Sus scrofa: one gene and its partner. The protein of the gene in region 1 interacts with the protein of each later gene in a pairwise test. Links are inferred from orthologs where the notes say so. Each region holds a gene or a part of one and is shown in the gene's direction. Other genes may lie near its edges.

Evidence for each region.
Region 2: the proteins of IGF1R (region 1) and KCNIP3 interact in binary tests that used the Homo sapiens proteins (3 or more experiments, as listed by UniProt). The two-hybrid records come from large-scale screens. The link is inferred for Sus scrofa from reciprocal best matches to the Homo sapiens genes IGF1R and KCNIP3.

What each region holds. Positions count from the first base shown.
Region 1 is NC_010443.5:137,389,423-137,393,575, reverse strand, and holds the end of IGF1R (insulin-like growth factor 1 receptor precursor), read left to right. Parts: intron 1-3,008; coding exon 3,009-3,390; 3' UTR 3,391-3,491; downstream 3,492-4,153. UniProt on the Homo sapiens protein: Receptor tyrosine kinase which mediates actions of insulin-like growth factor 1 (IGF1). Binds IGF1 with high affinity and IGF2 and insulin (INS) with a lower affinity. The activated IGF1R is involved in cell growth and survival control.
Region 2 is NC_010445.4:45,996,996-46,001,373, reverse strand, and holds the start of KCNIP3 (calsenilin), read left to right. Parts: upstream 1-1,456; 5' UTR 1,457-2,794; coding exon 2,795-2,857; intron 2,858-4,378. UniProt on the Homo sapiens protein: Calcium-dependent transcriptional repressor that binds to the DRE element of genes including PDYN and FOS. Affinity for DNA is reduced upon binding to calcium and enhanced by binding to magnesium. Seems to be involved in nociception.

The sequences.
Region 1 (4,153 bases):
AGGAGGCTCATCTGCCATCTGAGCCTGGGACAAGCTGCCCCCACACCTGTCACTGCCAGTGCACAGCCAGGAGAGGGAGAGTCTGTGGTTTCTCTTGTTTAGGTTGAGAGCAAATTCCTTTCTGAAGTAGGTGGCATTCAAAGTGTAACCACACCACTCCCGAGAACTCCATCCCTGCTCCACCTCACTAGTTTGAGGACTTGGACAAATTATTTAATCTCTTTGGTACTTCTGCTTCCCTGTCTACAAAATGGGGATAATGTTATGATACACACCTTCCCAGGCTCATGAAGAGTAAAGCAACTTACATCTGTAAAACTACTGAGATCATTAATTAATTGCCATGAGGTTGGTGTCATGGCATAGTGGAGGTGGTTTAGTTGGGAGGAAGAAAAATTAGTCATTTTCATGTGTTGTCTAGTTCCTTTTCCGCTAGAGCAAGCTTTTTCTATAAAGGGCCACCCGGTAAATATTTCGGCCTTGTAAGCCAAACAATCGCAACATTCGACTCATAGTTGTGGTTTGAAAGCAGCCATAGACCATATGTAAACAAACGCGTGTTTCTCTCCCAGTAAAACTTGATTTACAAAAGCAGGCAGCCACCTTGCTCCCAGTCCCACCCTCCCTCAAGGTCACCTCCTCTTCCCTCTGACTTGACCTGACTGCCCCCCCTCCTCTGCCGGCCCCGTCTTTCAAAGTAGCAGGCAGCTGGTGGATGGGATGGCCTGGGAGCTTTCCTGTGCCCCACGGGCTTGCTTTCCTGGGAACCTTCCCTTAGGCACGTGGTCTGTCAGATGTTGGCCTGCCTGAGGCTGGAAGCCAGTTTGGGGTGTTTTGAGCTTCTTAGATGTGGGGAGTTCCGTTTGGAGATTTTTATTGACAAGCATTCCTTTAGCCAGCAGTTTTATTTTATTTTTATTTTTTAAATTTTTTTTATTTTCCCACTGTACAGCAAGGGAGTCAGGTTATCCTTACATGTATACATTACATTTTTCCCCCCACCCTTTGTTCTGTTGCAACATGAGTATCTAGACAAAGTTCTCAATGCTATTCAGTAGGATCTCCTTGTATATATATTCTAAGTTGTGTCTGATAAGTCCAAGCTCCAGGTCCCTCCCACTCCCTCCCCCTCCCATCAGGCAGCCACAAGTCTTTTCTCCAAGTCCATGATTTTCTTTTCTGAGGAGATGTTCATTTGTGCTGGATATTAGGTTCCAGTTATAAGTGATATCATATGGTATTTGTCTTTGTCTTTCTGGCTCATTTCACTCAGTATGAGATTCTCTAGTTCCATCCATGTTGCTGCAAATGGCATTATGTCATTCTTTTTTATGGCTGAGTAGTATTCCATTGTGTATATATACCACATCTTCCGAATCCAATCATCTGTCGATGACATTTGGGTTGTTTCCATGTCCTGGCTATTGTGAATAGTGCTGCAATGAACATGCGGGTGCATGTGTCTCTTTTAAGTAGAGTTTTGTCCGGATAGATGCCCAAGAGTGGGATTGCAGGGTCATATGGAAGTTCTATGTATAGATTTCTAAGGTATCTCCAAACTGTTCTCCATAGTTAGCCAGCAGTTTTAAAACAAAACAGAATGGAGTTTTCTGGAGAGAACACAAGTGGAAGGGAAGGCACGTTAGTCTCTGTGACAATGGGCCACCAGCTGGTCCATTCTTGGAACTTTGTGCTCTGGACAGCCCGGACATTTGCTCAACCACCCTCCTTTCACACCAGAGGTCTACTTAGCCAGACCCCTCTACACCCCAATTAATAAGGAGCACCCCTCCTCCTGTAGCCATTCTGAACCCCTCATCAGAGCCTGGGCCTTTCTTGGCTGCCCTGACAGCACTGCTGCACCTTGCTATTCCCTGTGCAGCCTCCTGCTCTTGGGCCAGGACGCTGCCTGTGGCCACATGACTCAGCACTTCCCAGCAGCTGCAGTCCAGGTGCCCTCTCTGCCTGCCCCGTGCCTGTGCCAAGACTTGGGAACCAGGCTCTCCCCACCAGCCTCTTGGCTTCTGGAGCAGATCCTCACTGGGCCCCCCAAAAGACTCAGCGCAGCCTGGCTCCCAGGCTGACCTCCCTCACACTGCCTGCCCTCAGGTTCTCTGCCGGTGGCCCCCTGCCACCAAGAGGAAGCTTAGAAAGAGCCTGGGTGGAGATCCCTGGTGGCTCAGCAGGATAAGGATCTCAGGTTTGATCTCTGGTCCAGGAACTTCTGCTTGCTGCAAAGGTGGCCCAAACAAATAGTGCAGGTGGAATCGAAGGAGATCCCTGAGGGGAAAGCTGCAATCACTCCTCAGCCTTATTAGTGAGAAACCAGAGGTTTCCTGCATTGATTCTGGAAATGGTGTTTAATCAGTGGCTGCAAGAGATGCTTCAAATAGGAAGCTGGTTTACTTTTTTTTTTTTTTTTTTTTTTTTTTTGCTTTTTAGGGCGCCTTGCAGCATATGGAGATTCCCAGGCTAGGGGTCTAATCGGAGCTGTAGCTGCCGGCCTACACCACGGCCACAGCAACACCAGATCCAAGCCTCGTCTGCAACCTACACCACAGCTCACGGCAACGCCAGATCCTTAACCCACTGAGCAAGGCCAGGGGTCGAACCCATATCCTCACAGATCCTAGTCAGATTCATTAACCACTGAGCCATGAAGGGAACTCCCTGATTTGCTTTTTTTTTATAAAGAATACCTATAAAAATGGACTCTGTGTGAAACTGTATTTGTCCTTCCCGGGAAGTGATTTTATCATGGAGAGTTTTGTATTCTGGAGGGTCCTACATCCTGGGTCTGGATGAAGTGACTGCAGTGGTGGATGTAAGTCAGGAGGAGCCTCAGGCCACCTGCGCCATCAGGATACATACAAAGCCAGAGGCCCTGACGGGCAGCGGAGCCCTTTTCAGCGCTCCCCGTGTCTCTGTCAGTGGGGAAGCCACAGCAAGTGGCCCCAGCCGTGCCCACCCTTCTCCGCAGGGCCCATCTTTGTCTGTCCTCCCCTCAGGTTTGAGCTGATGCGCATGTGCTGGCAGTACAACCCCAAGATGAGGCCTTCCTTCCTGGAGATCATCAGCAGCATCAAGGATGAGATGGAGCCTGGCTTCCGGGAGGTCTCCTTCTACTACAGTGAGGAGAACAAGCCGCCTGAGCCGGAGGAGCTGGACCTGGAGCCGGAGAACATGGAGAGCGTCCCCCTGGACCCCTCGGCCTCCTCGTCCTCCCTGCCGCTGCCCGACAGACACTCAGGACACAAGGCTGAGAACGGCCCAGGCCCTGGCGTGCTGGTGCTGCGAGCCAGCTTCGACGAGAGACAGCCTTACGCGCACATGAACGGGGGCCGCAAGAACGAGCGGGCCCTGCCTCTGCCCCAGTCCTCGACCTGCTGATCCTGGATCCCGATCCCGTGCAAACAGTACCGTGCGCACGCGGGCGGGCGGGGGGAGAGTTTTAACAATCTATTCACAGCCTCCTGTACCTCAGTGGATCTCCAGAACTGCCATTGCTGCCCACGGGAGACGGCTTCTCTGCAGTAAACACATTTGGGATGTTCCTTTTTTCAATATGCAAGCAGCTTTTTATTTCCCAACCCAAACCCTTAACTGACACGGGCCTTTAAGAACCTTAATGACAACACTTAATAGCAACAGAACACTTGAGAATCAAGCCTCCTCACCCCCTCCCTGTCCCTCTCTCCTCTTTCTCCCTCTGTCTCTCACCTTTTTCTTTCTGCTTCTCGATGGAAACGCATTTGCTGCAAGCCCAGCCGGGACGCCCTTCATGTAGGATTGAGGAAAGAGCTGTCCCTCCAAGGCCCCACCTTGCCCCAAACACACCATAGGTCTTTGTAAAAAAACATGTTGAGATGAAAATTTTTAACTGAATCTTGAACCTTTAGGGACATACGAAATTTAAAAAGGGCCATCATTCATCCCAGGTTGTCACCATGTTAACGCTGCCAAATTTCTGCCACAACCCCGCACTTTCTCCCTCACTGTCCCCTCACTGTCGTCTTGTCTCCAGAGACCCCGGGGCGAGCACGGTAGCTGGTCACTTGTAAGAGCCACGCTGATGATGCTCTCCGCCCGATCGGCCCCAGGGTTCTTTTCAAGTCTCACATTCACACAGGTGTAACTGCTTGTGACAAGGTTG
Region 2 (4,378 bases), on another chromosome or scaffold:
GGTCAACAGCTCCAGACTATTTTTTTCCTGCCCAGGATCTGAAAGTTGAAGCTGATTGGCTGCCTCAAAAAAACCCCCCAAAACAAAACAAAAAAATGGAGAAGGGCACGCAAGAGCTCCTGTGCAAGCAGAGGAGGGGGTGTCTCAGGGCTCTGTTTCCATGGGAACCAGTGGCACAGGCTGGCTCTCTCCTCGGGGTGCAGAAAAGGGAAACTTGGCAGATGTTTCAGGCACCTGGCTCCTGGGAGGTTTCCCTGGGGACTGAGCAAATGCCCAGGAGTCTGCCCTCCTAAGGGGCAGGAAGGGACCCCTTCCCCAGGATGCTCAGGGGCTCTCACTCCTTCCCTCCACCACCAGGAGCTCTGGCCAGGTCCCTCAGCTGCCCTGATGTGGTCCCATTCCGGACCCACACACTGGGGACAGATGCCAGGCCACCTGGAGAGTGTTAAGGAGCTCAGGGCTGGGGTGGGCTCTCCCATGGCAGGCAGAGCCCCTGAACGGTGAAAGGAGATGGGTAAAGGTGGGCATAGATGAAGCAGGTGCAAGACCCCTGCCTGTGACCCACATAATGTGCCATGGTAGCCATCACCATGGCGGGGGTGGTGGTGGTGGCGGTGGTGGTGAGAGGGCCCAGCACCCAGAATGTCCCTACCAGGAGGATATTCCAGATGCCAGGGGTGCTCAGAGGTCATCTGTAGGGTAGCTGGAGGGACAGCAGGGAGCCCCCTCTCCGCAGCTCACCTTGACTGCAATGGCCTCAGCTCATCTGGGAGGTCATGCCACCTGGGGTCCATAAGAAGGGGCCAGTAGGATGAGGGAGGGGCTGGCCTGTTCTGGAAAATGCTCTGGGAGGCTCTCCAGGCCCCACTGCTGCCCTGCCCCCTACTAGGACAGGAACTTGTGCCTGAGCTCCCCTCCCCCCAGCCCGGGCTCTCTGCACCCCCACCTCCCTGTTCCAAGGTCGGGGAGCAGAGAGAGTGTGGGTTAGAGAAAGACAGTTGGGGGGAGGTGGCACACAGAGACACCTGGTGACAGGGAAGAGGGGACACTGAGAGAACCGGACTTCGACAGGCCAAGAGGGCGATGTTAGGAACGATTTGTACGGAGAGTGGGCCAGAGAGCCTGGGAGAGACGGAAAAGATGAGAGCGAGAGACCGGAGAGGTTGAGCGTGGAGGGAGGCAGAGCAGAGGGGGTGGAGCGTAGTGTAGACGCGCGCACGGAGGGAGGGTGGGCAGGGGGCGGGCGTGGAGCCGCCAGTAACAATTACGTCTGGATCCAAGCAAACATGAGGCGGCTGCCAGCCCGGCGGCGGTGGCGGCAGTCCTGTTCGCCTCGACTGCGTTCAGGGGAGGCTGGCAACAGTTTCCTCCAGCGCCCAGGATGCAGCGGGCAAAGGTAGGAGCTGGGGTGCTGGGCGTTCGCCTAGGGCTGGGGAGCGGGGGCTTCTGGGGGTTGCCCTGGACCAGAGAGCCTTGTTGTGCCTCCTCCTTTGACCCCATCCCCGGATGTCCCCTGTAGGGTCGCTTTTAAGAAAGTAAGTGCTGGAGTGCCCTGGCTGGGAGGCTAGACTCCTGGGGTCCCCTTTGGACCTTAAGCGTCTGTGCGGAGGAGGAGCCTGGGGTCGGTCACGTGGTTAAGTTATGGGGCAGGTGCCAGGTGCTGACCCTGAGCCCACCGCTGTCGTGTAGGGGAAGGGTGAGTGCTGGGAGAGGATGTCTTAAGTTTCAAGGCTGGTGGATAAGTGCAGGTAATTAATGAATGCCCACTTCCTAAAGGACTCTGAGACCCCTGCCTGGGACACATACTGGTAGTTCCAACTCTGTGGGGCTGTTGGGAGATTGGAGAGAGATGGTGTGAGGAGAATGCCTGGGATAGAGTTCAGGACATGGTGGCAAGGTGATGGGAAGGATGAAGAGTAATGAAATGCAGAAAAACAAAGGGAAGGAAAATAAGCTGTCCCCCAGAATACAGTCAATACGTGGAAAATGTGTATTGATGCCTTGTCAGCTCCCCACATGTTTGAAACAGTCTTCCTTTGGAAGGAAGAAGAAACACCAGAATTAGATCTGACTGCTTGTAACAGAACAGCCCAAATAACAGTGGTTTTGAACAAGGTTGCTTGTGTTTCTCTGTCATGCTGAAAAAATTTGGAGGGAGGTAATAGAGGGCTGGCACGGAGGCCCCACAGTCAGCAGGGACTAGGCTCCATCTGTCTCAGCAGGGGCTCTCAGGATCCATCTGTCTCACTGGCTTCCATTCTTGAGGTTACCTTAAGGTCCAAAATGGTTGCTGGAGCTCCAGCCAGCACACACAGGAAATAGAAAGAAGTAAGGGCAGGAAAAACCCACCTCAAATCAAGGTTTTGTGAATAAGGAAGAATGGATACAGGGCTGGCATCTGGCAGTCTCCCCTACCCAGCCCCCTAGAGATATATGCCCGCCTCTGTCACCCACGAGGACAAGCAGCCCAGAGTGGGCTTGTGGCTGCTGGCTCCAGGCCACCGTACCCCAGACCACAGGCCACCCCTGGTCTTTCTGGTCCATCTCTCAAGGGTGCCAGGAGAATGGGTAGAGCTGATGACATGAAACCCCATGAGCCTGGCAACAGGGCATGTGGAAGAGGTATTTTATCTCCTGTCCCCTTAAATCTCCCCAGCAACCTTCAGGCTGGTAGGACAGAAGGAGAGAAACTTAGCACCTTGTCATAGGCTCACACACTGTGTGGTCACTGCACACACATGCTGCGGCAAGCACAGGTCTCATGGATCCACAGGCATCAGCATAAGCATGCAGTATGCACAGCCACGCCATGCGACCACCTATAGCGGCCTGTGAAGCACAAGCTGCGTGCACTCAGGTAGGATTTCTAGAGTCAGGCTGCATGCAGATGTCCCTGGGCAGGGGACAGTCCTCCTATCTTTCCTGTGCTGGCCCTACCTGCCAGGAGGCTACTCCCTGTCCCTGCCAGGGGGGTGGAATGAATGGTTCAAGTCCTGCAGGTGCATCTGGCCCTTCCCGAAGCCCTTGTGACTCCACACTGCCCTCCACCATAACCAAGCCCCAGTGGCTGTCACTGTGCCTGCTGGTGGCCTTCCTGAAACTGACCTGGCCAGAGACTGGAACTGGTCCTACACCTTCTGGTCCTGGTGAGGCAGGGACAGTGACACTACCCGGTGCCTCTCCAAGGTCGGCTGGGAGATTGAAAAATCACCTTCCTCTGTAGCGGCAATAGGGACTATGGCACAGAGCACAGAGCACAGGCTGGGAGTCGGCCCCCCTCACCCACCCTCTGCTGTCTGTCACTGTCATTTGTGGATCCTCACAACATCCCGGGGGCGGGGGGCGGGTAGGCACTGCCACTTCCCCTTGTGCAAATGTGAGGCCTAGGGGTGGCAAGGCTTGTGCAGACAGGACATGAACTCCGTGAGCTCTTATGAGAAAGGAGCAAACAGAACCCATGGCCGGCTGCAGCAGGTGTGGGCTACCAACCTGGTCCTCATGGCCTGGCATGTCCACCCTCTACCTGCCCAGGTTCCCAGCTTCTTGCAGGGCATTCGTGGGAGGTGGGCCCTAATTTTCTCCTCTGTTTCTGAAGATAGAAATCAAGCCCCAAATCGAGATGAGTAGTGAAGTGGCTCTGACTGTTCTCCAGCTGGAGCCTGGGACAAAGTCCGGGCTGAAGGGTGGGAGCCTGAGGTGGCCGCTCCTGCTTCCATGGTCTTCCCAACAGGCCCCGCACCTGCGTGATCTTCCTGGACCCCCATGCTGCCCCCGAGGTAGCTCTTGGTATTGTACCCACTTTAGAGATGAGGAAACTGGAGCCTGCCAGCTGTACAAAGTGTTACAGCTGGGTTTGAACTCTGCTCTCTCTTACTCCAAAGCTCAGTTCCCTAGGGCTTGGGGGAAGGCTACAGGAAGAGAGGGGTGTGCCTGTAACCAGGCAGCTGAGGACGTGCCCCATCCCATTTGGGGGCTGGCTCCATGGGTTTGTGGCCTGTTGCACCCTCTGACCCTTTGGTGAGTGCCCACAAGTCAGACCCCACCCCTGGCCATGTCCCCTGGATTAGCCACATGACCTTGAGCCAGCCACAGTCCTTTTCTGGTCTGTGGGTCCAGAGCTGCAAAGGAAAGGATATCAGGAGCCCTCTCGTTATCACAATCTTCTGCAAGAGTGGGAGCTGCTTTGCTGACTTGGGCTGGCTTGGGGCCCATCTGCTCTCCCACCTCACCCAGGAACATCTCTGGGGACACCCAGGAGCAGCTGCAGAGCCCTGAATGTGGCCTTTGTGAGGGAGAGGGGCAATCTTGGTTTCCAAGGCAAAGAAAAGAGATGGGCCAAGAACTTGGCAATTCTTCCTTAGCTGGTCCTCCGGCCCCA